4 linked regions of the Caenorhabditis elegans genome follow. The protein of the gene in region 4 interacts with the protein of the main gene of each other region in a pairwise test. Each region holds a gene or a part of one and is shown on either strand. Other genes may lie near its edges.

Region 1 (7,289 bases), on a different chromosome or scaffold from region 4:
AGTTCCAACACTTATTTGTTTCTTATGTACGGTAACTTTTTTTTTCTTTCGAGCCACCTGCATCCCTAAGTTTTAGCCCTTTAATGTCCAGATAAGTGTTATCCTGTACGACAACTTAAAAAAAGGATCAGATAAAATATAGTGGTATCTTGAAGTCTCTATAAATCTATTGTCTCTATTAGTTTTTAAGACGCTTCTTTCGATCGGTTGCGCCATCAGCATGCCATTCAGGAAAGGAGGAAGAAGCAAGTTCTCTAAATCTCTTTTCGGCTATTTTTTTCTAGAGTGCCGCACGGGTACCATCACCAATCGACGCCGCCGTCGTCGGTACCCAGTTCACCTCTTCATTTGGCTTTTCTCCGCGTGTGTTTTTTGTCTATTCATTCCAGTCGCGCTAATCGTCATCTCCAAATACAGTTATATGCCATCCGTACGGTAGTGACCAGTGGCAAATCAAATCAAACAGGTTCCGAGTGTCAATAATAAAGACGATGAATGAGGGAGAAATGAGGAGATGGTGGGGGGAGGCAAAAAGGCAAATCGCAAATTATTTTGACACTACCTCCTGTGTTTGTATGCATTTGCCGCAATGGTCATCCGCTTTTGCGTAACACGGGTACAATGGGCGGCAAAATTGAGAAGGAAAAGCAGGCAAAAGAAGGCAAAGCCGGCCTTTCTCAGGGAAAGAAATAGATTAACCGGTGGGAGGCAAATGAACAAGCATGGATTTTTTCGGATCTGCATACATACAAGGTCTACCTATGGGTGTGGCGCTGAATATATATCTTTTGTACTCCGATTGATGGAGTTTCAGCGATTTGGGTCACTGCCACCGATTTGGCCAATGGTACTTGAAACATACTAGCTGTTGATGTAGTAATGAACTTTGTAATAGGTACCTTCCAACTAAATTTGATTTATAGTGTGTTCCTTACTAATGAATATAACAATCTCTTCTGCTAACATCGAGCATTTTCATGCTCCAAGACAGTTCACCATAACCCTAGAGCTGTTGTTAAAAGTTTTTCATTTTACATTTGTGGTATTTCATTAGCATTATAGGCTCTTATATCCTCTAGACTCATAGCCAAACTAGCACAACCTGTAAAAAAATTGGTAAGTTCTGATTTTTGGAGTAAAAACCTTAAAAGTATGTTCTTTTTGAGTTATGAATGTCATAAATCTTGAATTTATCAGGGAGCGATAATTTTGCCAGCTATGAGACATAAGAAAAACCTCCAATAGTAATTTTTCATATCAACTTGTAAGAACATAAACATTAGTCACATCACGCGTTGTGCAACAGTATTTGAGTTTGCTTAGAAAATCGGAATACTAAATGTCTCAATCTCAAATTCAAGTTCAAGCATAGATCTAAAATTTTAACATTTCGATGTGTTTTTTCAGTTCTTGTGTTTTTAACAATTCTAAATATGCAAACCTATTTAATTTACCTAGTTATTCAGGGTGGTTAATAACTGTGTAAGTTCACTTGTTTTAATATCTCGTTCCAAAAACAGAAACGTTGAGTTACTGCAAAGTGGTCGCCATAATTATGGGCGACTCTGTATATTCTTGAACTAGAAAACCGTATCTTTACGGTTTCATTTGTGATAGCCTTTTGACCTTATTTTATATAGACTTATATAAGAGTTCGTATACTCTAGGATTTTGTTGTATGTAGTAACTAAGATTTTTTTTAATATTCCAAGTTCCTAGATGTCATAACCTCTCACTATAGTTAGAACTTTTTGGCCTACTTAAAATTTCTAGGCTATATTGAAATACAATTTCAGTGTGTTTCAATATTCTTTACTGTCAAAAGCTAAAATGTCCACCTAAAATACATTATGATTGATTCCCGTCCTCGTATTGCGATGCCCTCTTAGTCTATCATAAATGCATTTCCGAATCTTCGAAACGAGGTTGAGTAGGTGCATTGTGTCAACTAAAAGAAACATTATGGAATTGTTGCAAGTGGTTCTCGACCTATTACCATTTCGCGTTCTTTGGAAAACTTTTGCGCCATTGGTCAACACATCCAGTTCTGAAGAAGCGCGGGTCCCCACCGTGTCTCTCCGACAACACACCACCACCACCCACTTTGCAGAGAAGAGGGCACAGTGTGTAACTTATTGTGAGACGATTCAGAGGACAAACAAATTGCGTGGTCAGTTTTGTTTTCAGGTGGGGTGGTCACTCTCTTTCATTCTCTTCATTGTGTGATGGAACACAACTACCTTGAACCACTTGTCTGATACCAGTTCCCTCTTCCAATCACCTAGACAACCAATACCAGCTTTTTCCTGTTTTCTCCCTCTCTCTTCTTCTCTTGGTTCAAAGTTTGTTGTCTGAAATTGCCAGTTCAATTGGGTCACCATGTCTGAAACTAGTGACCAATGAAATTTCGTGAACAGTCCAAAACAAAAAATTAATACCATAGGCTTCCTTGTGGGACAACTAGTTATATTTTCTGTTTGACTACTGAACTTATGTTTCTCTAAGTGTTGCTTTCTACTTTCAACCAAACATTTTTTTTCTCATTTTTCCATTTTGCCCCCATCTTTTATTCACTTGAACCTTTTCTCTTTTCTTTTTCTTCTTACCCTCAAAGGACAAATCGTGAGACTATCCTCAATTGAAGAAAAGGAATTTCTGATATATATCTGTGCAATATCTTTGTTCTCCTTCATAATTCACAATTCATTCAGCGCGTGTGAATCGTTTGAATTAATAATGCCACTGAACTCAAATAATCGGCCTTTTTAAGTTTCTCTAGTTTCAATTTCTAACGCTTTTGATTCTTCTTTTTCAATGTTTTCTTCAGGCTTGAATTTACAAACGCAAATTTAAAATTCCAGACACTCCAAATAAAATCAATACTCCATAATACTGCTGGATCAGTAACAACAATCTCCCGAATGGCTCTATAGTGGTGAGTAAGAACTAGTTTCCGTTCTAGTTTCTACTGTGCCATGCTCTTTCCCCTTTTAATGTTGTGAGCACTGTTTTGCTTTTTCATTGAAATAACAAAACAAGTAGAACAAGTATTTGCACCAGCAAGCATCTGGTAAGTATTCTCTTCCTCACCAACTTTACTTTTCTCACACTTTTGCCTATATTTGCGCATTTGGAGCAAGAGCAACACTTCCAGATTTGGTGACAGATTTCAAAGAATTATTACTTTGTCTAGTCTTATTTTCTCCTTGTCGTGTGCCGTTGTTGATCATAATAATAGTAGGCCAAATCGCCGCACCCGTCACTGCTCATGATCCCTTTAATATCCTAGCTAACTCCGAGTTTATCATCATGTGCCTCCTATGGGCACTGCCAATTCCATAAATAATTGTTTTTTCTTCTTTTCTATCTATCCTTTGTGTTATCCTTCTTCTTCCATACTTTACCTTATCAAATATTCATGTATTCTTGACAGACTGTAAGGGATAATTGGAGATCTCGATGATGAATTATCCTTGCTCTTGTGTTTGCAGTTTTGGTAGGGTGTATATGTCAATTATTTCTTTTGAATACTCTATTGAGAATCTATTGAAACCATACTCTATTCAGCTTGAGCTTCAAGGGAGAAACATGCGAGTGATCATTGACATACTTGATTGTAGTTAAAAACCGCATTTTCCGTATTAAACTTGCACCCCAATGGATTTACCTCGTATATCAGTCTTCTTAAGTTTTACCAAAAAATTATTTACTGTTGAAATGTACAAAAACATTTTGCACATAATTTGCCAACCGAGATAGAAGCTGTCAAAGTAAAGCAATGAGAGTACAAGACTAATACATTACAACTAACGTCTATATCATCCCTTTTCTAATCTGGGAGTTTGGTGCTTCCAAATTATTTTCAGAAAAAAACGTCAGCACAGTTTGATAGCAAATGCTGCAAAGGATATGCTCCCCCAGTTTTATGATGATACCTGAAAATTAAGTAAAAATTTTGTAAAAAAAACATTCATCCAACTTCTATAGCACTCATCGGATTTTTTGACAGGGGCCAGTTCTCGGCTCCTCATAATTTTCTCGTTTATTGTTAAAATTTCGAACTAAACTTTGAGATATAAGTTGTGAAAATCAAGGACCATAGGTTTTCAACATTTTCTATTGAACTGTACTAACACCTTTTCAAAAAATATTTTCAAAAACACCAAACTCTCAAATTAGTGGGGTGGTGCTATAGACGTTGGGCACACTGTAGAGAAATATTTGGTGGTATATTAGGTCTCCAAATAAGTTCCGGGTCAAAAGTCATAACTTTGTTCGCTGCGTATCGATTTTTATGAAACTTTGGGAATTCATGTTATCAACTATGATCTTTCATTTGACAATAGTCACAAAATTTTTTGACCACCCCAAGTGCCCTAACTCGGAACCAATTTTTTCAGGCATTTTTCTGATCTCGCTTCTTTTCAAATTTCAATTGAGGTTCATGGTTACATCATTTTTGTAGGAAAAATCTAGAATTTTCGACAAAAAATTTTTTTGAAGATTTTTTGACGACCAACCAAAAAAAATTTTTTTGGACGGATTTTTTCAAAACTTTTGTTGTTTTCTAATAATGTATTCTAAACAAAGAAAAATCCGCACACAACCCTCAATTCAAAGCTGAAAATAAGCGAGATCAGAAAAATGCCTGAAAAAATTGGCTCCGAGTTAGGACACTTGGGGCGGTCAAAAAATTTCGTGACTATTGTTAAATGAAAGATTATAGTTGATAACATAAATTCCCAGAGTTTCATGAAAATCGATACACAGCGAACAAAGTTATGATTTTTGACCCAGAACTTATTTGGAGACCTAATATATTTGATTTACCTTTTTTTGAAATCTTTCTTATTTGTTGTGCATGAGACTTAACTTTTTTTTCATAAACTTATCACACAACAATTCTTCGCAAAACACTACAATCGAACATCATTCCTGCTCATCAAACATCTGCGCTGTCCCACTGTCCCAGTGTCTCATCGCTCGTCAAGCCTATCAACATTTTTTGTCCCAAACTAAAAGTGCAATGAGAGCTCCATTGTATTGCACGAAAAGTTTCTCAGTTTCTCAAAAAGTGTGACATCGAGAGAAAAAGAGCACCGTTGTTTCGAGGTTCAGCCGCCACAAGAGCCAGTTGTCACCGGCGCCCCGGATACACGGAACAAAGCCATGAGACGTATGTTCTATTAGGTGTTCAACTATTGCTAACCTGTCACCTGCCCCGACATTATTTGATTATCTATTGTCTCGTTAATTGATGGTAAGTAGAGTGTGTGACACCTTGAGAAACGATTCCACAAATATCACCATTTTGAACGTGTTGAAAATATCCGTCGAACTAACGTTTGTACTCGTAGTATCACTTTTTCCTATCCGTTTTTCGTGTTTGAAATCTTTGATAGGAAGATAAGACACAGGGAACCCCGAGCTCTTGATGGAACAATGCCTGCCAAGATGTTTGTCAATTGTTGCATCTTCCTGGAAGACGACAAAAGTTCCCCCGTTTTTCATCTTTTCGTCCCACTCTCATACGAATCTTGAACAGAAATTGTTGCGAAAATTTTTTCTTTCAAAAACTGACCTCAAATCAGCGGAAGGAGTCACTTGTCACACTTGTTCTTCTTTTATATATCACACTTAATAACACCTATCTTTTGTTGTCAAACCAAAACGGAGCTCTTGTAATATTCAATATTGAACGAACATTATGCCCTTTCCCATTTGACAAATAGGCCTTGATCCATCCTGCTCTAGACTATAATCGGCTTAACCAGGCCTTGCTCATAGATTTCGATTCTTAGCCCCTGTTTCCTCCATCCCCACAACAACAAGTTATCCAAGGGCAACATCGATGAATTGTGGAATTTGATACTAACGGTCCCGCGGGAAGGTGAAATTGAAGTATTTGAATTATTGTTTAATGCAAAAAGATCAAAGGTTCTAATGTTCTCGTAAGAAATGTTGTATCAAAAGAAACCCATCACCATTGATGTATACATCTTAACAAGGACCGAGTGCACATTTTCCCACAAAACCATTTTCTCAGCTTTTCGAGAAGAAAAGAGACAAATTAGGTGTGTAGAGAATGGTATTGTTGTGAATCGATTAGTCATAGATTGCTTTTTTTGGTCGGCCGTTTCACCCTTTCTTGGCCATTACTAATTGTAAAAGGGTCTTTGACCATTATTAAAACTGGAATACAACTAGAAAAGTTTAAAGCACTACTGACCGAAAATAGTTTTACCATCCATGCAAACTAGTACTACAAAATAGGCTCCCTAAATATTAGAATACTATATAAATGTTTTGGTATTGAAAACCGCTTTCTGGAAACTTCAATGAGTAACTTAAAAGTAATCGTGATAACTAATTCATTATCACCTCTATCATTTCTATCTTTTCTTGAATCCACAAAACGCTATTCGACACCTGCTGTCCATTGCTTACTTACATTTCAAAGCACTTGTTTGCGTGTGCAAGCCTCATGAATAAAAGCATATTGAGACATCCGGTAGACAGGTATACGGTAGGCTGATGAATGCTCAGGGGGAGTCCATCATAACCACCAGCAAAATTTCTTCTTGTCTTGTGAAGCTCCTAAATTGTGCCATCTTTCCTGGCCCCGTATTTCATAATTGTTTGAATTTGTTATAGCAACATCTGTGTGAAATGAATCGCATGTTGACCTGCCTTAAGACTAATGACTCGTATCGCGATGAGCTACGAGAACGATTATGCGAATTTATAATCACAGGTGGTCCCAGTCGAAAAACTCTCCCTCTCTTTAATAAAAGTATAGAATTGGGAAATTGATGTGCATGCAATGTAACATGTAATACATGTATGTACAATTCTTATATTCCGATTTTCTTCGAGTCTTTGAAATGACAAATTTCCGTTTCCTAACGCTTTTCCATCAGAATAATAAGTGGCGCATGTGCATAACACTGCACAAAAGTGATTAGAAAGCATAACATTTCCTGTTGCTGCTTGATGGACCCATTTCCGGTGATGGCACGTCGTCTTGTCCAGGTGTATGTGTGAATATACACTGGGAGTAAACGCTTTGCTCATTCACTTCCGTCGCCACCTACTTAGGAACATCAGTGCGGCTGATCCCCAAGATGGAGGGCTTTCTCGAGATGACGACCCCTCATTAACGCTCATGTTTCGATGTATATTTGCATTGTGTGTATGCATCTAATTTAGAGTTATGATCTATCCCTTTTCGTTTCTCAACTTTCCCGCACATCCACTACCAACTTTTTTCTTGGGCCAATCCAGCCTTG
Region 2 (8,711 bases), on a different chromosome or scaffold from region 4:
TGGAGCAGCGGGCGGCAGTGGGCGTCAGCGGCCATCAGTAGGCGTAAGCGGGCGTCAGCGGGCGTTAGCGGGCGTCAGCGGGCGTCAGCGGGCGTCAGCGGGCGTCAGCGGGCGTCAGTGGGCGTCAGCGGGCGTCAGCGGGCGTCAGCGGGCGTCAGCGGGCGTCAGCGGGCGTCAGCGGGCGTCAGTGGGCGTCAGCGGGCGTCCGTGGGCGTCAGCGGGCGTCAGCGGAAGTCAGGGGGCGTCAGCGTCTGTAGGCGGGCGTCTGCGGAAGTCGGGGGGCGTCAGCGTCTGTAGGCGGGCGTCAGCTAGCGTCAGTGGGCGTCAGGGGGCAATAGCGGGCGTCAGCGCGCGTCAGTGGGCGTTAGCGGGCGACGAGGAAAATAAACTTACGGCGTAAGTCCCAACATGACCTTTGTCTCTTCACTGATGTGTTTGAAGTCGCTTTGAATCTCGACAGAATTCAATGTTTGCACGACCGGGAACTTATTCTCATAGGTGACACGTTTCCAACCAGTCTTTCCCGGCGCCTGCCATTCCACTCTTTTTGTCGGGATCGAATGCGGCTTCTGCTTCATATCACAGTTTCTCCATACAGTCAGTCCCATCTTCTTGGCACGTCCCTCCATCCATCTTCGATATTTTTGGTATCTCTTGCGCCGATGTCTCGTGAGTGTCCAATCCCAGCGCAGATGACGAGCCGCCTTTCTTTGTGGAGCCGAACACGTGTAGCGGTACTGTAGGTATCTGTAGATGTGCTCCACACGCTGGGATTTCAAGTAGGCAAGTCTCTCCCGGATGTCCTCTGGCTTCATCTGACCTTTTGCAATCACCTCCGTCTTTGCACGTTTCGATGCGCGAATGCGTCTGAAAATTCGGTGTCTTCTCTGTCGTTTCCTCAGCTTTCTGGCCTTCACGTGCTTCTTCTGCTCTTTTCGGGCTTCTCTCGCAAGCTTTTTGTCTTCTGGAGTCACGCCTTTGCTCACATTGATTCCAGCTTTCTTTTGCCTGTCCTTTTCGATCCATCTGTCGTATTTTCTTTTTACATCTCTCCATCTGGCTTTTTCCACTGTGAATTTTTTGTGCGAACACTCATTAGTCTTCTTCTCGGGCTTTTTCCGGAAATACGCTGCAAAAAATGGAAGTGATTTTGAATATTGTCTGGCAGCGGACACTTTGCTGGTTCGCAATACGCAAAATTTAAAAGTAGCAGGCGACACTTCACTGGTGGTATTCTACTGGACTCAAAAAATGCTTTTAAAAAAGGCTTGTGGACCACAAGTCAGCTGCTCTCGGCGTTTTTTTTAACTAGCGTAGCAGCGGACACTTCACAGGAGCCGAGATGTCGGCTGTTTTCGGCCAGCAACCGACATCTCACCGGCGCAATCTGAAACATTGATTACCTGGCAACGTTCCTGGATGGAAGAAGTAGTTCATTTTGTGAAAATAATTTGGAAATAATTGATTTGAACTTTATTTCTTGTTGGAAGTTGTTTGTTTTTTTCGTCACACGGGAATTATTTATTCTTTTATAAACTATAATGTCACGGGGAAAAAATGAATAAAAATCAATAAATAGGAAAACACGTCAGCCAATTTAAAAGTTTTAAATTTTGAAATTAAAAGTATCAGCCGACTTATCACAGGTGCTATTCTACTGGAGTCTTATTATAACCTATAAGGTCGGGTGCCCCATAAAGTCCCATCAAGGCTGTGCGGCATTTTTTTCGGCAAACGCACAAAACTGTATATTTCATACATGATAATCCAACTTTTATCATCGAAAATTAATATCGAAATGTAGAAAAATGTTTTTTTCTATCTGAAAATAATATTTATTTTTGTCGAAAAGCTCCAAGAAATAAGTCTCAAATAGTGCCTGAAAGTTGCTGTTTGCCGAAAAAGTGCCGATAATTTTTTGGCAAACGACAACTTTCAGGCACTATTTGAGGCTTTTTGAATATTTTCACCAAAAATAAATATTATTTTCAGATAGTACAAATCTTTTTACTACATGTCTTCATTAATTTTAGCTGAAAAAAGTTCGATTATCATGTATGAAATAAGTAATTTTTGCGTTTCCCGGAAAAATGCTACACATCCCCGGTTCCCATTAGAAATCATTTTAATTTGAAAATAACTGCTGCGTTTTTCAAATTTTTTCAAAAAAAGTTCCCCGCAGGCACTTTGAAAGGTTCTCAGCCACGAGACGTCGGCTGCTGTTGGCACTTTTTTCTCAAAACTAGCGTAGCAGCGGGCACTTCACAGGAGCCGAGATGTCGGCTGCCCTCAGCCAGCAGCCGACATCTCACAGGCGCCATCTGAAACATTGATTACCTGGCAACGTTCCTGGATGGAAGAAGTAGTTCATTTTGTGAAAATAATTTAGAAATAATTGATTTGAACTTTATTTCTTGTTGGAAGTTGTTTTTTTTTCGTCACACGGGAATTATTTATTCTTTTTTTAAATTATGATAGAATGTCAAGGGAAAAATTTAAAAAAAGATAAAAATTAATAAATAGAAAAACCCGTCAGCCAATAAATAAATGAGGAAAAATTCAAAAAGTTTTGGAAAAAATTGAATTGAAAGACGCCAATTTGGGCCAGTAAGTGATCATTATGAAGGGAAACTGGGGTGAAAATAGCACTGGGAGGAAGTTAGAGAAATCGATTGGAATGACAAAGAGTATGGAACTGGTAGCGTTGGGATTACTTTTTTAATCCTTCAACCTTCAACAAGATTCATCACATCTTCTATCTTTATCAAAGGTGCTTCGGAGCAACCCTTCAAAAAATGGAGACAAGAGCCCCGCACCGCCCAAGTGAACTGCTGCCAGTCGCTTTTCCTCCACATTTCTACGCGGGTCTCCTCGTCGTTTTCCAGCTGAGTGACTCGGATTTCGTTACCGCAATCGGTTAGGGTTACCATTTTTTGCTGGAATTTTTTGATTTCTGTGATTTTGGCCGAAAATAATTCTCTTGCAAATTCTTAACTTACATTTTTTAAATTACTCTCAAAGCAATATTCGCCCATTTTTCTCGCATTAAATGTGAATACCAAGTCAGAATCTGTGGCGATTTGTAGCAGCGCGGCGATGCTTGTCCCATCATTCAGATGGAATTCTGCTGATGACGTGGATGTCGAGGTGCTTCCACTGACTGACGAGGAGGAGGAATCTTCTTCTTTCTGGAATTTGGGTAGTGAAATGTCGGCTGCTTCTTTTAGTATTCTGACTCACAATATTCTGATAGGTGCTGTTCAATTTGCTAAGAAATACCGAATCGCTGGTGAGACTCTCGTTTTCATTAGATGCGTTTCCTTCCTGGAAGATAATTAATTTTAAGCGCCCGTCTTGTGTGCCTAGGCACCTAGGCAAACTTACATTCGAATTGGCCGATGGGGATGTGCTGGAATTGGCGTACTGCGAGGCTTGTTGGATTAGAGCCGCCAGGAAGTCATCTTGGGCTCCGAGCTTGATCTCTGCGGTGGCAAAGGGGTTGAACGAGAAGGGTGACGGTTGGGAGAGGGCTTTGAGGAGCAGATCTTCGGGCTGAAAATATTACAGTTTTTTTCTGTCTAAGATATGGTTTCGTCGCTTTTCAGAATTAAAAAAAAACTAAGTTTGTCCCATCACGGTTTGATCTACAAAAAATGGGGAAATTTTTTGCCCAAAAATATGTGACTTCAGCACGCTTTTAACCATACGAAATCAGTTGAGAACTCTGCGTCTCTTCTCCCGCATTTTTTGTAGATTTACGTAGATCAGGCCGAAATGAGACACTCTGACACCACGTGAAAATAATTAATTGGAGTGTAGTGCAGGGCTATTGTAAGATGTTTGCATTGTAGGATAACTTAAATTACTATAAGAAAAGGTTACTGCAGAGTTACTGTAAAGTTACCAGTTTTTGCAGGATTACTGTAGACTTATTATTGGGTTACTGTAGGGTTACTGTAGATTTTTAAAATATACTCAATGGTTACTGCCAAATTACTGGTTTTTGTAGGATTACTGTACTTTTGATAAATATTATCCTAGGGCTGATGTTTTGTATTTTTATAGCTACTGTAGTGTACTTGTGTCTTGAAATAGGATTAAAGTAGAATTTCTGTCGACTTATTATTGGGTTACTGTAGGGTTACTGTAGATTTTTAAAATATACTCAGTGGTTACTGCCAAATTACTGGTTTTTGTAAGATTACTGTAATTTTGATAAATAGTATTTGTATAGCTACTGTACTGTACTTGTGTCTTGAAATAGGGTTGAGGTAGGATTACTGTAGTCTTATTATTGGGTTACTGTAAGTTTACCCAGACGTAGAGTCTACGTCGTAGACTAAGATTACTGTATTCTCAGTGGCAGTTAAATTTTTGTAGTTAAGGTATTGTAAATCAGGGGTGGTCGGCAATTGCCGTTCGACCAATTTTTTGTCTACAAAAATTGTCAAGTTGCCGGTTTGCTGATTTGCCGGAAACTTTCATTTCCGTCAATCTGCCGATTTGCCGTTTGCCAAAATCAACTTGCCAAAAGTTTTAGAGGGATTTTTATAAGACGGAAACACTTAAAACTGGGCCTTTTGGAACCTTTTTCTGTTTTCTTTAGATATTTTCATAGAATGTGTTTGCTTTTCAAAATAGCTGTAGGAACATTAATAGGATGCGTACAATTTTGCAATTAAAATTGAAATACTGAAACTTCCAAAAAAGTGCGAAACCACAATTTGCAGAAAATTCCAGCAAATTCGCAATTTGCCGGTTTTCCAATATAAATTTACTCGAAGAAAATCTCGTAAATGGTTGTCGAAAAAAAAGTTTTTGAAAAGTACTGTGAGACTACTGTAGGTAGATTATGTTCCAAAATTCAAGACAGAAAACTCCAAGTCAAAGTTTAAAAAAAGCTGCAATTTATATTTCCTAGATTTCCCTTTAAACTTCAAAAAGCATTTTAAATATTTTGAAGATTTTTCCTTTCAAAAAAAAAGTAAAATTGTTTTGCTTTTCCGTTCAACCATGTCCAGTTTAAACATTCCAATCCATGTCGAAAATTGGACACAACCAAGCTTCGCCCCGCGACGAAAAAAAAAACTGGATTTCTTCTTTTTTAGAATTCGCATTTATATACATACATATATTCAATATGTAAAAGCTACTTTGCAAAACGTTCCTAAAATCTGTCTGCGTCTCTTACCCCCACCATTGTGTCTTCCGCAGGCGCCCCACGCGTGCGGGCGCGCGGAAAAGAATTGTAAAAATTAATGCGAATTTCGGTGATTTCTAGGTCACTACTATTCGCTTTTCAAACATGTTTTCTACCTAGAAAATTGCAGGAAATTTGAGAGACGCAGTAGCGAAACAGATATGGTTTTTGCAATTGGGTAACACACGAATTTTTGACAGACATCTGACTTTGGGTGACTGGGTGGAAAACTGGTTTTGATCTAGAATCTCACCTGTTTCTTGACTCGCGGAGCATAGTTCGCTGGAGCCTGTGAGTTGATTTTCTCCTCACATATCGCCCAAAGTCCTCCGGGTCCTAGAATACATTTTTGGAACCCGTTGTGAATTTATTAAGCCAACCTGTGTCATGTTTCCGTTTCAAGTGAAATTTCATAGTTGTAGGCGATCTGTCGTTAGTCACCCAGTGGCAAAATCTGCAGCGGACACCTGCCAGGCCATGAGTTCGGAGGTCGGTGAAAAACTCCCAAACCTGAAATTTAATTTAAGTTGCTGTGAGTAGGCCTGAGGTCGTATCGTAAATTCTTTTTTTAGGTAGGCTTAGGCTTAGGCTTAGGCTCAGGCTTAGGTTTAGGGCTAGCCTTAGGCTTAGGCTTAGGGTCAGGTTTAGGTTTAGGCTAAGGCTTAAGCTTGGGCTTGGCGTCAGTGGCGAGCGTGAGCTCGACGCTATTTAGGCTTAGGTTAGGCTACAGCTTAGGCTCAGGCTTAGGCTTAGACTCACACTTAGGTTTAGGCTTAGGCTCGAGCTCAGACTTAGGTTGAGTCTCAGGCTTAGGCATAGGCTTCGGCTTCGGCTTTGGCTTTGACTTGGGCTCAGGATTATCTCTGGACTATATTCTTAGATCATAGCCTATAATTACTGGTTTTACCGCTATCATTATCCTAAAAAAATAAAATGACTCACCGGATTGCTCTTTTTCCTTCCTGCATTTCTTGGGTTCGGAATATTCGGTGCCGGGGCTAGGCCCGTCCTCATCACACTCTCCGGGAAAACTGTAGTTGTTGTCAACATTTTTGTGAATTGAAAGCTAGAAGAGAGAGGGTTGATGAACTTAGGAACAGTGAGCGATATTAGTTTTAAACCATTTTTAAAAAGTTTGCAAGCCTGCTCAATGCTTATCAATGGAGCAAATTTGCAGAAAATAACAAAACAAAAGTAAAATCAAAAATCCACAAAAAAAGTCATCCAAGTTTGTATGTACTGCATACTAAAATAGAAGTAGGGGGTAGAAAGGGGGACGGAAATCGAAAGCTGACCCCATTTTTTGTTCCGAAAATTGTCGCCGAAACACAGTGTATTTGTTATTTTTGGTGTGGTTCTAGCATGATTTCTGGTTATTCTACATATGTTTAGTGTAGGACTTAACAAAAACGCTCGGATTTAGGCTTAGGCTTAGGCCTAATCTTAGACTTGAGTTTGAGATTTATTTTGAGCTTAGGCTTATGTTTGGGCTTAGGCTTAAGCTTAGATTTGAGTTAAAGCTTATGCTCAGGCTTAGGCTTAGGCTCAGTCTTATTCTTAGGCTTTGGCCTAGGCTTAGGCTTATGCTTAGACTGAAGCTTCAGATTGAGCTTAATCTGAGGCATAGGCTTAGGTTCAGGCTTAGGATTAGGCGTAGTTTTAGGCTTATTCTCAGGCTTTGGCTTAAATTGCCACAATCCAGGCCTATTCATATTCTGATTTACGTCAATTTAGCGTAACACAACTCTAACCATTTTTGAATCAAAAAATTAAAAGTATATTTGGAAATTTCCAGGTTCACAATCATATTTAAAAACTAGTTTTTTTTCCAAAAACCCGCATGCCTACACTCAAATTCACAAAAAGATTTTTTCGTCCTGTGGTGGGGGAGTGGGGGTGAAAGAGAGGCGGAACGCGCGCACCCCTTCCAAAGTTTTTAGGATGGGATTTTTGAATTGTGAATTTCGAATTGAATTGCTTTTGCTTTTGGTCAGGGGAGGGCAAATTGCCTGCAGGCGGAATTCAGGAATTTACGAATTTACGCGAAAAATGGGATGCGAAAATGAAAAACGGCCGGGTAGGGGGGAAGGCGAAGAAAGCATAAATTTCACACGATTTTTGGGAGAAATTTGCATAAATTTTTTCGTTTTGAAATTTTGTTACTCGAAGCTTCTGGAAAGGGAAATTTGAATTTTTCGTAACCTTGAGATTGCATGCTTCTGCTTGATTTTTTGGCAGAAAGTGACCTTGTCTCAAGCAGTGATATTTTTGAGGTAAAATAAATTTGAGAAAGAAGAAATATATATGAATCATATTTTTTTAAAAATAAAGGTGATTCAGAAAAAAAATTGAGAAGGAATTTTTGGATAGTTTCACAGTACTAGGTAAAAGTACACTATAAATCACCTATTTTACTCGTAGTAGCTCAAAATAGTAGGCAGGCAAGCATAACCTTTCACGGGGTTCTGGCCTTCCTTATTGAATTTTTCGCGCTCCATTGACAATCGCCTGCCAGACAACGCGTCGGAAAGTCGTGTACTCCACACGGACAAATACATTTAGTTTTACAACTAGAATCGAGCCGCAACGCGCCGTAAATCTACCCCAGATATGGCCGAGCCAAAATAGCCTAGTTCGGCAAACTCTTCCATTTCAATTTATGAGGGAAGCAAGAAATTTGTGACCTTACCTCGTAGGCATATGCCTGCCTACCATGAAACTACAGTGTGAAGTTGTAGGCAGGTAGGCAGGTCAACAAACTTTTTCTGTTAATGTGTAAGTGTATTTAAATTGAAAAATGAAATTATTTCAAATTTCGTATAGTGTTTTGCAAGGCAAAATCGTTCAGAAAAAAATTTTCAACCAAGAAATGGGCGGAGCCTAGTAGAGATTGGTTTAAAGGAAGCTTTATATACAAATTTCAGACTGAAAATTATTTGAAATTGATGTTTTTTAGTCAATCATTCACCTATTCGTAATTATCGAAAAAAGTGAAACCAAACGGAAAAAGTGAAAATTTCAAGCTTTACACATAAATCATATGCATTTTGACGGCTATACTTAAACCCGACGAATGTCACTGAAATATTGAAATTTGAAATTGAAATTTACTGAAAAAAAAAGAAGTTTGTTCCTCGTTTTTAAGGGCGCCGAACTTTTTTTTGAAAACTTTTTTGAAAACTTTTTGTTGAAGAAATTTGGTCAGCTAACATATAAAACAAAAAAAAGACCGGGAAAAATTCAAATCGGAAATATAAAAATTTAGTCCTAAAAATTTATGAAATCCGATATTTTTGGAAAGTGGGAGCGAGGCGAAGAAGGTCGCTTTTCTTGGGAGAAGGGGGCGGAGCCTATGTCAGGGGTTGGAAGAAAATTTTCAGAATTTTTAATTTTTAATATTTTAAAAAATCATAACAATTTCAAAATAGACCCCGCCCATTTCTTGGTCCATTTCTCTTTATTTTTCAAAAATTTGAAAAAAAAATGTTTTCGATTTTTTTTTGGAAATTTA
Region 3 (5,811 bases), on a different chromosome or scaffold from region 4:
AACCACGTTTCCTGAAATTAGAGGTTTTCTTTAAATCATTCTAAAAATAAAATCTTTCTACCAAAGATGACATGATCGACGGCATCTGCTCCAACATTAGCGTGCTTCAGCGCTGCTTGAGAAGCGACGACTCCCAAATCAGTTGCACTCAATCCTTTCAGCTTTCCACCAAAAGTTCCGAATGCTGTACGCTTGGCACCGACGATGAACACACCTGCAGACATAATATAAACATCACTGATCACTTATTAGTACAACGACCATGGACTTTGACCCCCACTCACATTTTCCTGCCATTTTGCAGTGTATTTGTGTGGTTCTGTAAATAAAAACGTTCTTATAAGTAGTAACAAATTATTAGGAAGAGGTGAAAAAACCTAAAAAAAAGGGCATTTAGAAAACTGCATAATTATTTTGAGAGGGGCTTTTGAACAAAAATAAAGTTTTTCGGTTGTTTGTTGGGCCGATAAGATAGGTAGAGAAGAGACGCAGAGACGAAAAAGAAGCAGAATGGCCGACTTTCGCGGTGTCTTTTTTATCATCATTCCCGCTACTTGTTCTCTGACCTAAAGGCTACATTCTACACTACAATAAGATACAAAATTGGGCCTGGAAACCACAAGGCAATATAATACAATTAATTTTCATCAATTTTATTAAACCAATCACAAAACAACGAGTGAAATACTAGCCAAGCAACGGGTGTAATTAAAAAACAAGTAGAGCAGATACAAAATGGTCTGCTTTAGACGGCGGATTTCTCGGCGACTGGAGCATCGGACGAGTGCAATGAAAGCTTGGCTTTCACAACCGAGCTGGTCTTCTTCTGGCAGCTCTCATGATCTTCGTAGCGGATCACATCGAACAGTGGCTTTGAGTGGTCCTTGGATGCGGCCATCAGCTTCTCCTTCAGCACAACTCTGAAATTCCAAAATTCAAGATAGAATTAAAAATAGACATGCATACCCAATCCTCATGTTGGTTTCATCATCGTTGCAATCCTTAGTCCAGACGCTGATCTTCGATCCTTTTCCTCTGACGTTGCACACCAACCCACAAATCGACTCCATGTCCTTTCCGAATTGCTCGCCGACCAAAGCCATGAGAATCTCCAGCCAAATAGCATCGACCATTTCGGGAGTCTTTCCCTTGTCAATGACGATGAGCCAGCGTCCTCCGTTCGAGTTTTCCGGAACCTCCCACATCGGCTGAATATCGTCACGGAAAACGTTGTAATCGCACAACGCGTTGAGGCCACTTGGTGGACGGATAGCATCGTAGAGAGCCCAGAACTCCGAGACGGTGTTGAAGGTGTACACCTTCTTCAGACGATCCTCCCAAGACTTGTTGCGCTCATCGTTCAAATACCACCACGTCCAGTTACGCTTCAGCGGATAAATGGGTGCCGTCGTTTGCTCCGTTTCAGTCATACCTGGAAGAACTCGATTAGTAAAATCAGTAAACAGAGAGAATAAATGAATGCAAATAAAAATGGGCACGTGGAACCAAAAAAGTGATGCAAAACGGCGAGAAACAGTTTTTTTGTGAATAATTTATAGTACTCAAACGATAATGAAAAAGGGAATGGCTCACCTTCTTTCTCCCCAGAGATTTTCAGCTTCTCAAATGCTATTTCAGAATCTGACATTTGCGCTTAAAATTTTCGCACCTCGACAACTGGCAAGGCAAAAACAGGACTGATCTGAGAAGCCGAGAACAACTGGGGAAAACGCCAACTAATCGTGCCCTAAATGACGTGCCATTGAAATATGGAGCGGGTCAGTAAAAAAATTCACGGGGAAAATAGGAAATGGTGGAATATAGTACAACAATTTTAAAAAGAGATTTAGAAATTATCGATGATGAATCAAGGTAAATACACAAATGAAGAAATAAAATGAGAACCCGTAGAAAAAAAAAGCGAAGAAAAACAATCTAGTTGTCGTAGTCATCGTCGGTTGGAGCCAAAGAGCCCTCTGATGGTCCTCCAAACATTTGTGCGTTTGCGGCTGCTACCGCCGCGGCTTGTGCTTGTTGGTGAGCAAGCTGCTGCTCAATTTCTTGTTGGCGTGCCTGTAAAATAAATATTAACATTGAGGAAATGAGTGTTTGTTTTATAAAAACAAAATTATTTTTGAAAACCTCAAAAAATTACCTTCTGAATTAATTCTTGTTGCATTTCGTACAATTTTTCCTCTGGAATACCACATTTTTCAAGACGAGAGTTCTTCCTTCGCAGCTTCTTCTCGGCTTCAACCTTGCAGGCATCGAGAACACTGTCGGCGGCCTCGAGATAATCTGGTGTGAATCCTAAATTCTGCAGTGCCTTCTGAACATGTTCGTGATATATTGTTTTTCTCTGATCCTGGCTCGCAATTCGTTGTGCTTCTCTCGCAATATGCTTCACGAACTCAACGCAGCAAGCATTGATCATATCTCTCGACTCGTTGGCGATTCGCATTTCAGGAACAACTTCTTTGATAATTTGGTTGATACCTTTCTGTGGAAGTCCGATTTCATTGTCCTCATCCATATCTGTGAAGAGTCTGAAAATTGTGTTGAAGCACTGCATTTTTAAGGGATCTAAAAGAGATATAAGGAATGAGAAATACATTATTAAAAGTTTAAAGATGAAATAAAATTAATATCAAACTGAGTACATTTATGCGAATATAAATATAATATTTTCGGAACAAATCTCACAAAATTCACAGAATTATCCAATTTTAGCATTGCTGAAGTCCATTTCAGGATGCTGTTTCATGAACTGTTGCAGCATATCATGCTTTTTCTTCTCATCAGACGTTGGAAGACCCATCTCCTTCTGCCTCTGATCATACATCATCTTTTCGACCATGGCACGTGTCTCTCCATCCAAGTCGCTCAATTTCGAGTTCTCTGGCTTCACTTCCTTAGTATTGATTGGAGGATCGGAATCAAGGAATCGATTCCACCATTCCATATCATTGATCTTCTCGAGAGTTAGGACAATCGCTTTCCCGTTTTCGATTACCCAGTTGCAATTTTCTACTTTAATGGCGTGAGGCAACTTTCCATCGACAATCGGAGCTTGATTCTTCAGGCCGACAGATACTGAAGTCTTCTCTATTTTGACGACAACGTCACGAGATTTGATAGCAAATCCAGCAGCAATTGGAATCTTCACCTCGAGTTCTTGGAGTGTTTGAGTCCATTGATATTTGGCAAGATCCGCACCATTTCCACTATTTGGTTTCATGAGCTTACTGTCCTCATCTTCGACTTCAGCGTCTTTCGATGTTTCTCCTTCGTTATCGACGAATTTTTCAAGATTTTCAACAGAATTTTTAGCCTGTTCCTTTTCAAACGCGGCCGCTTCCTCATCAGTGACTTCCACGACTTTCGCATTTCGGAACTCTTCCTCTTCCTTAGCTTTTTGTGCAGCTCTTCGTTCAGCAAGCTTCCTCTCCTGCTCTTCCTTCCGTTTCTTGGCTTCTTCAGCTTCCTTCATAGCCTTTCCACCGTGTTTATCGAATTTTTCGAGGAGAAGGGTCCGGGCTTGATCGACACCAGCGCCACTGTAGAAATCCGTCTTTCTGAAACAAAACATGTATTTATTAAGCACTTTGAAAAAATTTCTTACCTCGAAAGAAATTCAAATAGTACATCAAGCATTTCAGGCACTCCGCCGCTCAGCTGTTGGGCCATGGAGAGCAGCACCGAGTCGAATCGCTCATATTGAGACATTTTCTGAAATTTAAATATATTAATTAATAAAAACTACTTCCAAAACGAAGAAAAACATTAGGAAATCCGGAATTATTGAAAATAGAGCCTAAAATCAAGAAACATAGTTATTTCGCAATAATTACAGGACAAATTCTACTTAATCTAGTTAAAAACTTATTTTACAAACTAGAAAACCATTTATTTTGACAAATATCACTAGAAAAATTGAGTTATTTCGAAATTTCTGGTAAATCCTATTTTCGCCATGTTCCCATGGATACTGCAAGTGCCTGGGGAAAGCAGGTGGCTCATAATGCTCAATTATATTTCTGGGACAATGAGAATAGTTGAAAAATCAAAGAAAATCTGTGCGAAATCCCGCAAAATCGATAAATTAGGAGAGAAAATGTGTAAAATTGAAAATAAATTGCGAGCGCCGTTTTTTCTAGGCGCCTTGGCGCGGCGACTGGCGCAACTCTCGTGCTGACGCGAAACTCGATGCTACAGTAGTTTGATTTGAAATTTAAAAATTCAAATTTGAATTCAAAGTAATTTTCAGAAAAAAAAAGCAATAAGTTACCTAGTGCATTACTATTTCTCCCGTTAAAGAGAAAAACGGGTCTAATTGAAGAACAGATGGTGCTAATCAAAGAGAAAAATGCACACGCTTAGAAATTGGATTTTTCGAGACCTTTTCCATTTTGAAACTTTCTATTGATAATAAATCCAACTTAAATATTGATTAAGTTCACTTTTCCATTTACAAATTATTCCAAAAAAGACAGAAAAGCCATTACGTATGCTTAATTGCTTTTTTCTAATTAGACGTTCGACACTTCAGTACACGCTAGCATGGCTAATTAGATTGGAAACGAGGTCACCTCTCGTTTTTGTTTGTATGTCTGCGTTCATATTAGACTACGCATCGCGTTGAGAATCTAGTTAGAACACTATTTGTGTCTCCCTTTTTACGCGGCCTTTTTTTCTTTCTTGCAAAAAAATACGCATTTTATTTATGTTTAGTAGTTAACATAATTAAAATAGATGTTGACACACTTTTTTTAATAATAATTTAATAATAATTATTATTATTTTAAATACAGATAGAGTTTCAAATCAATTCACTAAATTTACCCTGTTTTATTGAAAAAAAAGCGGTGCGGCAGTGAGAGAGTATGTGGCGAAGAGACGGAGAGAAAGAGCATTCACTGCGAGACCTTGCGCGTCAAGTATGGCGAATTTCTCCATTTTCAAAACGTCTATGTAATATTAGTTTATAGGAACATTTAATGTAATAGAATATTGAAAAACAGAAGAAAGAAAACACCAGTAAACCGTTTTCGATAGACTATTTAAAAAGCTGATTGCATAGTTTCTCATTAATTTATTAGCTTCTTTTTTAAATTTAGTATGTACTGAAACTTGATTTTCTCGAAAAATCTAGATTATGTCAGAACCGGACCAGGGGGAGAGAATTTCCCCAACAGATGGTACACCCACTCAACGTGATTTCAACGAAACCAATGACTCTTACCCCTGCGGGACACATTCTCCTTTTCTTTCCGCGCAAATTTCCACATGGTCCGGTTGTAGTTGAAAATTGTAATATCTGAAAAAATTGAATACACTTTTTCGATATTCAATGATAATGTTCGTTTAGTTTATGTTTAATGTTTAGTTTAGCAGAGGTGCATTTTTCTACATATTGCTCAAAAATAAAATATCATAGATTTTACTGGAATTATATACAGTTTCATAATAATACTTAACCTATTTTTTAGGAGACAATGGCTTCCCGAGAAACTATTCTGGACGTTTTGGCAAAGTTGGAGGAGTGCAAAGAAACTTTGAATAATTCATTGAATTACGGTTGGTTTTTTTTGTATATTTTAATTTTTAATAGCGAATCTCAAAAAAATGATGTTCATTTTTTTAAATTAAAAAATTAATTCCTGTCAAATGAACAAAATATACCAAATAATTTTATTTTTAGCAAGAAATCTTTTGGCAAAAAACCAAAAAAAAAAAATAGTTTTTTGTCAAAAAAACCACAAACTCCTTTTTTGCTTAAAAAACAAAAAAAAATCCTTTTTTGCCAAAAAA
Region 4 (10,564 bases):
TTGAAATATGCAAATATTTGTATTTTTCATTTTTATTGGAAAATAGTTGTGCTTGTTATTTTAATTTATTTTTTTTCCGGCTTTTCCCCCTAAAAATCCAAATTTTTTGCTCATTTCCCCCCATACATTAAGCCTCTCCAAAATCGCATCAAGCCTCCTCGGAACTTCAATATGATATGATGGCCATGGCTGATCGTGTCGTTGCTCCTGATGATCGAAAATCACAAAAACTTTCTTTTCTGCAGCCATCGAAAACTCTAAAAACTTCTTAAAATCTGGAAAAAAATGGAAAAAATGCCTATAAAAAAAATACAAATCAGAGTAAAAAAACAAGTGGCATGCAATTTCAAAAAAAAAATCCAAAAAAAAAAATCTTAAAAATTATCGAGTTCATCCTTATTAAAACTTTTTAGGGTATATTGTACAAGAGAATAATGCAGGAGAAATTTGAGAATCATGGGACATCATAACATGGGGGGGAATATATAAAATAGTGTGCAAAATAAAATTAATTGGAATTTTTACAATTGTTTTTTTGGGGTATTTAAAAATATTTTTAAAAAAAATGTGAGAGAGCATCAGAGTCTTTGGGGAAAATTTCAGATAAAAATGTTTTAAAAAAATTGGGAAAATTTCAGGCCAATCATTATTATTATTATTATTAAATTATCGTTGATGGGGAGTCATAATATTTATATTAGACTTCTCCCTCTTCGGACAGCTTGAGAGCAATTCCCATCGTAACTTCACACCGCGGACAGTACCATTTTCCAGTCGGAGGCTCGACCATTCCAATGCACGGGTAATGGAACCAGCGGAGGGTGCACTGCAAATGAAATGGGATTAATTAGAAATTTAAAAAATTCTAGCAACTTTACTAATTTCCAAATTTTTGTAGCTATTTTTTTAATCTAGGTTGAAACTTACTGATATTTTTGTGGTTTTTATTACTTTTTTTATTTTCCAACAAAAAAAAACAAACAAACAAATCTACCATTTTCCCATAATTTTTTCCAAAATTTCAACAAAAAATTCTAATCTAAATTTAAAAAACATATAGCTACAAAAGTGCTATAAAAAATTTACATTTCAACCAAAAATCTTATAAACTGAATTTTCATCGAGACCATCACCAAAAAACTAATTTTTGACCAAATTGAGTGCGAAAAATCGAATTTCCATCAAGAATATTATAAAACATTTTGTTTTCTTCGAAAAAATTAGAATTTTCCAGGCAAATTCTATTTTTTGTAGTTTTTGATGAAAATTCAACTTTTTTTAAATATATTTGTGTGGCGGAAATTTACTTTTTTGCATTACTTTTCGAAGAAAACAAAATGTTTTATAATATTTTTGATGGAAATTCGATTTTTCGCACTCAATTTGGTCAAAAATTAGTTTTTTGGTGGTGATGGTCTCGATGAAAATTCAGTTTATCAGATTTTTGGTAGAAATGTTTTTTAAATTTAGATATTAGAATTTTTTGTTGAAATTTTCAGACTTTCTGTATTTTGTTTTAAAGGTTTTTGGTGTAAATTTCAGATGGATGGATGTAATTTGTAATATTTGTGGAAAAAAACTGAGTTTTCACCGAAAACAGTGCGAAAAATGAAATTTCCACATTGTAATTATTTTAAACAATTTTTTAAAAATCATGTTTTCGTGTTTTATGTTTTTTTGTGTTTGTTTCCATTTAATTTTTCTAATTTTTGAAATACTTACAGTGGAAATTCAATTTAATTTTCGAAATCTAAATTTTTCGTATTATTTCAGTTGCTTTTGTAATTCAAGAGCATGTTTTTGTGGAAAATCAATTTTTAAAAATATTTTTCTGATGAAATTTTAATTTTTCGGGATTTTTTTAAAATGAAAATTCTATTTTTTTTGTAAAATTTTTTGATAATAATACCAACAAAAAATCGAATTTTCACCAAAAATATAGCAAAGTTTTGCAATTTTTAGGTGGAAATTAATTTTTTCGCTCAACTATTTCGAATTTTTGTAACACATTTTTTGGTAAAACCGTTGAAAACGCAGAAATTTTGTTGATTTTAGCCTAAAAATAATATAAATTGCAACTTTTTCCAATTTTTTGGTGAAAATTCAATTTTTCTGAATGTTCGTGAAATTTTTCGATAAAAATGTAAAAAAAAGCAAAATTTTGCATTTTCTGGTAGAAATTATTATATATTTTTCGCAATTTTTTGGTGAAAACTTCATTTTTGTGATTTTTTCCAAGGAAACACTCTATTTAACAATTTTTAAGCATTTTGTTGTGGTAGAAATTCAAATTAAAAAAAAAATAATTTTCGGTTAAAAATTAACTTTTTTCGTACTATTTTTGAAACAAAAATTTAATTTTCGGTGCATTATTTCTGATTTCACTTTTTAAACTCAATTTTTGGTGGAAATTTGAATTTTTTGTACAATTTTCCATGAAAAAATATGAATTTTCATCAAAAATTACGAATTATTGATTTTGTGCTGGAAATTTGAATTTTTCGCTCAATTTTCGATTTTTTGAATGGAAATTTTTTTTTTTTTTTTTAATAAGATCTTTGATAATCTTTGACTAACCAAAAAAGTGAATTTTCACCGCAAATATAGCAACATGATTTTGCAATTTTCAGGTAGAAATTATATATTTTTCGCACTGTTTTCTCGTGTGAAAATCCAAATTTTTTGATTTTTTGAATGGATGGAAACTCAATTTTTCGCACTATTCGAAGAAAAAAAAACAGTAATTTTCTGCATTATTTCTGATGAAAATTCACATTTTTTAATCAATTTTTGGTAATAAAAAACAACAAAAAAAAATCTAATTTTTTTTTCGCACTATTTCTGCTGGGAATTTGAATTTTTCGCTCAATTTTCGGAGAAAAATTCAATTTTTCCCTTCATTAAAAAAGCCCACACTAACATGACGATTATCACACTGAACCATATCTCCATAGCTCTTCTCATTACAAAAACACCAATGCATCTCATCCTCCTCATCCTCCGATCCCGGAGCCATCATCGGATGGCTCCGCTTAATCCGATAACTCGGTCCTTCCTCATCATCATCCTCGGCGGCTCCTTCAATCTCCGGAAGTGGTGATTGTGGTGAAGAGCTCGTCGGAGCGTGAGCGTGCTGAGCCGCCGCCGCCAGATTCGCCGCACTCATTCTCTCCTGTAGTGCTATAATTGAATTTCCATGATTCCGCTGCCGCTGTAGAGTCTCCTTAAACATCTCCTGAACTCTACTGGTCAGCTTCCGAGTTCTACCATGACGGCTCTCAGACACCACAAACGCCGAATTCTGGAGAACTGGAGTCGTCGGCGAAACGACGATATGCGGTCCTGAGGAGAACGTCGGTGTCATCAGTAGGCTTGTCGTCGGCGTCGGTGATGATTCGTCGATTCCGGCGTTTGACCAACTACGTTCGGAGGGATTCGGTGAGAAGCGGGATGTCGATTCACCACGATTCATCATTGATGAAAGAGCACTTGGAATGGAGACTGTGCCGCGGAGAGCATTTGTGTTTGAGCGGCGCTGAAATTTGGAGAAATTAGAGAATTTTTAGTTTTTTCACTCCAAAAACGACTGATTTTCGTGAAAATAATGGCGGTTAGGCTGAAAAATCAGCCTATTTAACGGTTCGGACGATTTGGAACGTATAGACCCAAATTTTGTGCTCAAATGAACGAATTTCATACTGAAATTGCTCAAAAATTCTTCAAAAATGTTTTATGGCGCTTCAAAATTTCGAAAACTTACACTGATTTGAGTTAAAATCTCGAATTTTGGTCATTTTTCCGTGTCTCGGCTGTCCGAAGTTGGCTTTTTTTGGAAATATCATTCTTGATTGCATATATTGGTTTTAATATCTCATTTAATTTCGTTTATTAAGGTCTGTTTAAAGCCTATAGGCGACCAATTTTAATGATTTTTGGTTACCTATTGGCTTTAAATTTACCATAATCAATGAAATTAAATGAGATAAACTACCAAAATATGCAATGAAGGATGATAATTCCAAAAAAAACCAACTTCCTACAGCTGTGACACGGAAAAATGACCAAAATTCGAGATTTTAGCTAAAATCAGTGTCATTTTCGAAATTTTGAACCGCCATAAATACATTTTCGAGCAGTTTCATTACGAAATTCGTTCATTTGAGCACAAAATTTGGGTCAATAAACCGTTAGTCCTCCTGTAAATAGGCTGATTTTCCAGAAAATCATGGCGGTTTGGCTTAAAAATTAGTCAGTAAAGAGCCAAATTTCGTTTAATTTTGAAAATTCGAAACAAAAAGTTAATTTTTAGCTGAAAACGGTCCAAAATGACCCAAAAACGGCCAATTTTCGTAAATTTTATTAAAAAATGTGGCGGTTAGGCTAAAAAAATAGTTGAAAAGAGACGAATTACGCTAAAACTCGAAATTTCGTCAAATTTTTCTTGTAACAACACCCAAAAAACGGGAAAATTTTATCAATTTTGTGAGGTTTTTGTACGATCAAATTTTGCGGATTTTAGGCTGAAATTCAAAAATGTTTGAAAAATATTATTTGAAAATTCAAAATTTAGCTAAAATTCGAAATTTCGCCAGTTCTTTGAACAGGAGGCCGTGGTAGGTGGGCTCCAAATTTTGCGAATTTTCTCGAATTTTCAGCTAGCTCCTCACCCTAGCCGTCGGTGTTGGTGGCACTGGCGTCAGACAATCATCACTGGCCACCACCATCGCCGCCGACGACAGCAACAGCTGATCCTTTGCGATCTTTGGCGGGCGCCCACGTGGCGCTGGTGATGGTATAGCCGATGATAGTGCCGATTGTGCCGACTCATCGGAAAGATCCATTCGAAGACGAACACCTTCCTGAAGGATCCGCTGAATTTTGTCCTTTGATTCTTTCGATAAAAGTGGTCCCGAAGCGACTGTCGATGCTCTCGACGACGATCCTCCACCACCACCACCACCGCCCACGCGATGACGACGTTTTCGTTCTTTTCTCGCTGTGAGCAGAGATTCGACGTGTTGGGTATATCGTTTTTCGATCATTTCGGTCACTCCTGAATTGTCGGCCTCCATTTCACACTGGAACGTGGTTTTCTCCTTTTCCAAGTGAACTTTGTACTTTTTGAGGAGTTCTTGCATTTTTTCGGCGATTAGATATTTGCGTTGAGCTAGCACGCGGATTGTGGAGAATTCCTGAAGAAAATTGGTTGCAATTTTTTGGGTTTTTTCAATTTTTTTTTTGTGAAAAAGCAAATTTTTGAACTTTTTTTTTCATTTTTTAAGAGAAATTTTGCCATTTTTCAGCTATTTTTGTGATAAAAACTTTTTTTTGAGCTTATTCAACGTTTTAACGAGAAATTTTGAAAAAATGGTTGAATTCTAAAATTTTTATTGAAAAAAAAAAGCAAATTTTTGAGCTTTTTTTTACTTTTTAAAGAGAAATTCTGAAAAATTGGTTGATTTTATGATTTTTCGGGGGTTTCGACTTTTTTTTTGTTGTGAAAACAGCTAATTTTTTTTTATAATTTCGGCATTTCCTTCACTTTCAACGCGAGAAAATCTGGAAAATTGGCATTTTGGGATTTTTAAGCTTTTTTTTTTTTTAAAAGCTAATTTTTCAGCTTTTTTTTTAAAGAGAAATTAGAAAAATTGGCTGATTTTTTGGGATTATAAGGTAGTTTTGGGGGAGAAAGCTTTTAAAATTAATAGAAAATGCAAATTTAGGGTTTTTTTCCAAGAATTTCGGCAAAATTGGTTGTATTTTGAGATTTTGAAAGTTTTTTTTAGAAAACCACGAAAAAAAAATTAGAAAATGCAAATGTAAATGTTTTTTCCCAAAAATTAGTTGAATTTTCAATTTTTTTTCGTGAAAAAAGCTAAATTTTCAGCTTTTTTTTCACTTTTTAACAAGAAATTCCGAAAAATTGTCTGAATTTTGCGATTTTTTGTCCTGTTTTTTAAAAAAGATTTTCAGTGAAAAAAGGAATTTTTTCGACCGTTTTTTTCCGAGAAATTCTGAAAAATTAGCGGAATTTTGGGATTTTTTCGCGGAAAAATGCTCATTTTTTGAAAATTTCGGTATTTCCTTTATTTTTAGCGGAAAATTTTGAAAAATTGGATGCATTTTGAGATTTATAAGCGTTTTGGGCTAATTTTTGCGTTTTTAAGCTATTTTTGTGAAGAAAAAGCTTCAAAAAACGATCAAAAACGACAAAATTCTAATTTTAGGTTTTTTTCCGAAAAGGTTACAACTTGGTCGGATCTTGAGCAACTTTTTGAGTTTTTCGACCTCATTTTAGTGTTTTTAGACGTCATTCACTTTGAGTATTTTTGAGCACTTTTGGTGTTTTGTGGGAAAAAAAAGCTTAAAAAGTGAAAAAATGACATCAGGCAAAGTACAAAAAAATCCCATTTTTTCTCATTTTTCTTCACGAAAAAGCTAGAAAAACGGGTTTTATAGCGAAATTTCTCATTTTTCACGAATTTTAGCCGTTTTTGTGGCAAAAATCAACTTTTTCCTGCGTTTTCGTGTCAATTTGCTGCCAAATTCGAGTTCCAGGAATTTTCATGAAATTCACCTCCTGCAAAACCTTGCAGCGCTCCTTTCTCTGCTCCTCGGGCATATTTACGCCGGTTCTCTCGAAAAAATCGTTGATCGCCTCTCGATTACGGTTTAGACGGGCTAAAAATTCGAAAAAATGAAGGGAAAAATTCAGAAAAATTTCGAAATTTTACATTCAACTTCATTGTCGATTCGCCGAATTTCATCGCTTCTCTCCTTCAGCTCGGCAGGCAGCTCATCGAGCACTGGAAAACGTTGAAAATTTGGGTGTTTTTATAGGGGAAAAGTTTGCAACAAAAAAAACCACTTACTTTCTAAAAAATCATCGAGGAAGAGCATTTTGTGCGGGGGCGTCCAGCGCCGAGTTCTGAATTTTTTTTCCAAATAATTAATTAATTAAAAGTGGAGTAGCGTAGCGCCAGTGGGAAAATTGCTTTAAAACACGCCAAATTCAAAAAAAAATTTCTAAATTTTATATGATTTTTTGAAAATTGAAAAAATCTCAGTTTTTACCCCTAATTCCTATTTGAATTTCCGCCAATTGAACTCGTTCGTTGGAGCGCCGCGCTTGCACGTTTCTAAATTTATTTATTTTTTGTTATTTTCCACCGATTTTTAATGTTTTCGGTGTATTTTTGCTTGAATTTTAGAGAAAAAGTCGAAATAAATGCAAATTTTCGAATAAAAACCATGCGTACAGACCGAAATCAGTGAAATTAATTAATTTTGTCATTTTTACGCCTGTAAGCGTGCTTTTTAATCGAAATTTAGCATTTATTTTGACTTTTTCTCTAAAATTCATGTAAAAATACACCGAAAACTAAAAAAAATTGAAAATCGGTGGAAAATAACAAAAAATAAAATAAATAAACTTAAAAACGTGCAAGCGCGCTCCATCGAACAAATCCAATTAGCGGTAATTCAAATAGGAATTAGGGGTGAAAACTGAGACTTTTTCAATTTTCAAAAAATCATATAAAATTTAGGAATTTTTTTTTCAATTAGGCGCAATTTTAAGCAACAAAAAAAACGAATTAATAGGTATAAAAGCGTTAAAAACGCTGAAAAAAGGGCAAAAAAAAGGCAAAAAAAAAAATGATAAAATTCGAATATTTTATAGTACAAAAAAGGAGAAAACGGAGAAAACTACCAAAAAAAAAACAACCGAAACTAAGGAATTTTCTATTCCAAATCAAACGAATAGTTGACAATTGGGTATTTGCGTGGATCGTCGAACGGGTAGGCACGGTAGAAATCGTATGAATACTGCTTCGGCATTGCCGGATTCTTCCAACGGAGCGCGTTCGGATGTTCGTTGGTAAAGTACCAGGCGAGGAGAGCCATCGGTACGAGCACGCGGAGGCACATAACGATCGAGTTCCAGCTGAAAATTGGATAAATTAATTAGAAAAAAAAAACAAAAAAAAACAGCCTAAAAATCCGAAAATTAAAAAAAAATCGCAAAATTTAGAAAATCCACATTTTTTTCACCGAAAATACTAAAAATCGCTGCAAAAATTCAAGAAAATCCGAGAGATACGAAATCGATAAAATCGGTAGATTTTTTCGCTAAAAATCGGTGAAAACCCGTAATAAGAGGCAAGAAAATCAGTAAATAATTTGAAAAATGTCAAAAAAATTTCCAGGAAATCGAACGAAAATTCTCAATTTAGTGAAAAAATCTCAGAAAATCAACTGAAAAATCCTTTAAAAAATTTAAAAAACCTGTGGAAAATCCGACGAGAAATTCAAAAAAAATCAATGAAATTTCAGGAAAATCAAAAAAAATTCGTCATTTTTTTAGCCAAAATACGAGAAATTCCTCTTTTTTTCAAAAAATTATGAAAAAAACTGCCTAAAAATACGAAAATCCACTTTTTTAAGGGAAAAAATTCGGAGTTTTATCAGAAAATCGGGGAAAATTATGAAAAACTTAAGTTTTAGGGCGAAATTACCCGAAAAATCTGCGAATTTTCGGATTTTTATCAGAAAATTGGACTAAAATTCGCATTTTTCAGCGAAAAATTCGCTTTTTTATTAGAAAATCGGAGAAAATAATGAAAAAAAAACTGGCTGAAAATCAGAAATTCCGAATTTTTACCTAAAAATAGTGAAAAATTATGGAAAAAACTGCCCAAAAACCCATAAAATACACATTTTTCAGCGAAATTACCCAAAATCTGTGCAAAAAATCAATTCAAAATTCACGGACTACGAGACCCATTTTTTTTTCAAAAACAGGAACAAGATATGTCAAATATCCAGAGCCAGTGAGCATTTTTCGTGAAAATTGGAAAAAAAAACCCTGAAAATTTCAATAATTCCGGTTTTTAGTCAGAAAATCGTGAAAAATTTTGAAAAACTGCCTAAAAATCAGAAAATTCAACAAAATTTCGCATTTTTTAAGCGAACAATTATGAAAAAACTGCCTAAAAATCCAAAAACTCAATAAAATTACCCATTTTTTAAGCGAAAAATACCGATTTTCATTGAAAAAAAATTGTGAAAAATTATGAAAAAATGCCTGAAAATCAGAAAATCCGCAGTTTTTTCAGCAAAAAAAAAATCAAAAACATTTTTCTTTCTGAAAAATTTTTCTGAAAATATGAAAAAAAAACCGCCTAAAAATTTGAAAATTAAGCGAAAAGTTATGAAAAAACTGCCTAAAAATCGAAAAATTCAATAAAATTGCCCATCTTTTAAGCGAAAAATTCCGATTTTCATCAAAAAATCATGAAAAAATTATGAAAAAAACTGCCTAAAAATCAGAAAATTCATTGAAATTTCGCATTTTTCATCAAAAAATCGTGAAAAATTATGAGAAAACTGCCTAAAAATCCGAAAATCCGCAGTTTTTCAGCAAAAAAAATCAAAAACATTTTTCTTTCTGAAAATATGAAAAAAAACCGCCTAAAAATTTGAAAATTAAGCGAAAAATTATGAAAAAACTGCCTAAAAATCGAAAAATTCAATAAAATTGCTATTTTTTGCACAATTTCTGGCCATTTGTCTCGAAATTTTTCATTTTTATAGCATTTTTCTCCTCCACCTACGTGGTGTAATCTTCCGCCTCGAGGCCTGTAAACGTGAGACGATCGCCTCGATAGCGCATCATATCGATCGGCACGAGCTCTCCCCAATTCCGGCGATTCTGCCGATCGGTCCACGCCTCATACGGATCCTTGTGGTCGTAGGTGATTACACCGAGGTCTGGATAGTCTCCGGCGAACTTGATCACGTCGTCTTTGTCCATTGATTGATAGTCTTCTGGTCTGAGGCCGTATTTGACGGCGGCGGCGCGACGCTCTTCCTCGTTTGTTGGCGGCGCGCTTGGCTTGTGATCACGTGGGTACCAGCCGTCGAAGGTTAGAGGTCCGCGCACTGGAAATGAGCTTCGTTTTTCTTTAATTTTCGTTGAATTTGGAAGGAAAATCCATTTTTTTAAAGCCGAAAAACTCACTGGACATGATTCTTGCCAGATGGAGCGATCTGCTGGCATTAATCGCCTTTATCAAGCGTGGGGCGAGCATGCCTGTAATAATAATGATTATTTTCAACATTTTTTCCGAAAAAAAACCGAAAAAAACCGAAAAAATCCGCGTAAAACAAAAAAAACAATTTAAATCCGCAAGAATCGATAAAGAGACCCTCCGTTTTAGAAATTCGCACACGTGAAACAAGTGCTACCGTACCTGCGGGCGTGGTGAGACCCAACTCTGCGTCTCCTCGTTTTGTGTGCTCTCTCGCTTTTTAAATTGTTTATATTTTATTTTTTTTATTGCTCGGAGAGAAAAATGTCGAAATTCAAGAAAAATCTGGTTTTTGGCGCCAAATTCACTGGAAAATTGAATTTAGTGGCGAAAATTGGCTATGTAAAGTTAAAATTCAGCAAAAAAACCAATTTTTTGGTTTTTTTTCCACCACCTATCACGTGAACCGGTCTTGTGACGCTATCAGCAATCGAATTTTATTGTTTTTTATTGATTTTTGTGTGAAATAAAGC

Evidence for each region.
Region 1: the proteins of ing-3 (region 4) and egl-13 interact in a two-hybrid assay, tested with the Caenorhabditis elegans proteins (one large-scale study listed by BioGRID).
Region 2: the proteins of ing-3 (region 4) and T10B5.10 interact in a two-hybrid assay, tested with the Caenorhabditis elegans proteins (one large-scale study listed by BioGRID).
Region 3: the proteins of ing-3 (region 4) and dro-1 interact in a two-hybrid assay, tested with the Caenorhabditis elegans proteins (one large-scale study listed by BioGRID).

Annotation. Positions count from the first base shown.
Region 1 is NC_003284.9:5,660,976-5,668,264, forward strand, and holds the start of egl-13 (Transcription factor egl-13), read left to right. Parts: upstream 1-2,861; 5' UTR 2,862-2,935; intron 2,936-3,389; exon of another isoform or gene 3,390-3,529; intron 3,530-5,512; exon of another isoform or gene 5,513-5,705; intron 5,706-6,873; exon of another isoform or gene 6,874-7,018; intron 7,019-7,289.
Region 2 is NC_003283.11:1,850,009-1,858,719, forward strand, and holds T10B5.10 (BED-type domain-containing protein), read right to left. Parts: upstream 6,269-8,711; 5' UTR 6,251-6,268; coding exon 6,143-6,250; intron 5,836-6,142; exon of another isoform or gene 5,773-5,835; intron 5,711-5,772; coding exon 5,581-5,710; intron 5,537-5,580; coding exon 5,454-5,536; intron 3,553-5,453; coding exon 3,385-3,552; intron 3,325-3,384; coding exon 3,241-3,324; intron 3,189-3,240; coding exon 3,000-3,188; intron 2,937-2,999; coding exon 2,727-2,936; 3' UTR 2,385-2,726; downstream 1-2,384.
Region 3 is NC_003281.10:13,339,445-13,345,255, reverse strand, and holds dro-1 (Protein Dr1), read right to left. Parts: upstream 2,573-5,811; coding exon 2,156-2,572; intron 2,074-2,155; coding exon 1,936-2,073; 3' UTR 1,649-1,935; coding exon of another isoform or gene 1,594-1,648; 3' UTR 1,544-1,593; downstream 1-1,543. Other genes in the region: acaa-2 (3-ketoacyl-CoA thiolase, mitochondrial), read right to left, coding at 1-11, 62-214, 285-297; ife-1 (eIF-4F 25 kDa subunit), read right to left, coding at 746-920, 967-1,432, 1,594-1,648; nud-1 (Nuclear migration protein nudC), read right to left, coding at 2,717-3,575, 3,623-3,726; F53A2.3 (Phosphoprotein), read left to right, coding at 5,496-5,577.
Region 4 is NC_003280.10:13,872,398-13,882,961, reverse strand, and holds ing-3 (Inhibitor of growth protein), read right to left. Parts: upstream 6,929-10,564; 5' UTR 6,901-6,928; coding exon 6,873-6,900; intron 6,807-6,872; coding exon 6,735-6,806; intron 6,682-6,734; coding exon 6,578-6,681; intron 5,193-6,577; coding exon 4,668-5,192; intron 3,536-4,667; coding exon 2,921-3,535; intron 827-2,920; coding exon 698-826; 3' UTR 377-697; downstream 1-376. Other genes in the region: hda-10 (Histone deacetylase domain-containing protein), read right to left, coding at 127-249; ndub-8 (NADH dehydrogenase [ubiquinone] 1 beta subcomplex subunit 8, mitochondrial), read right to left, coding at 7,744-7,945, 9,615-10,060.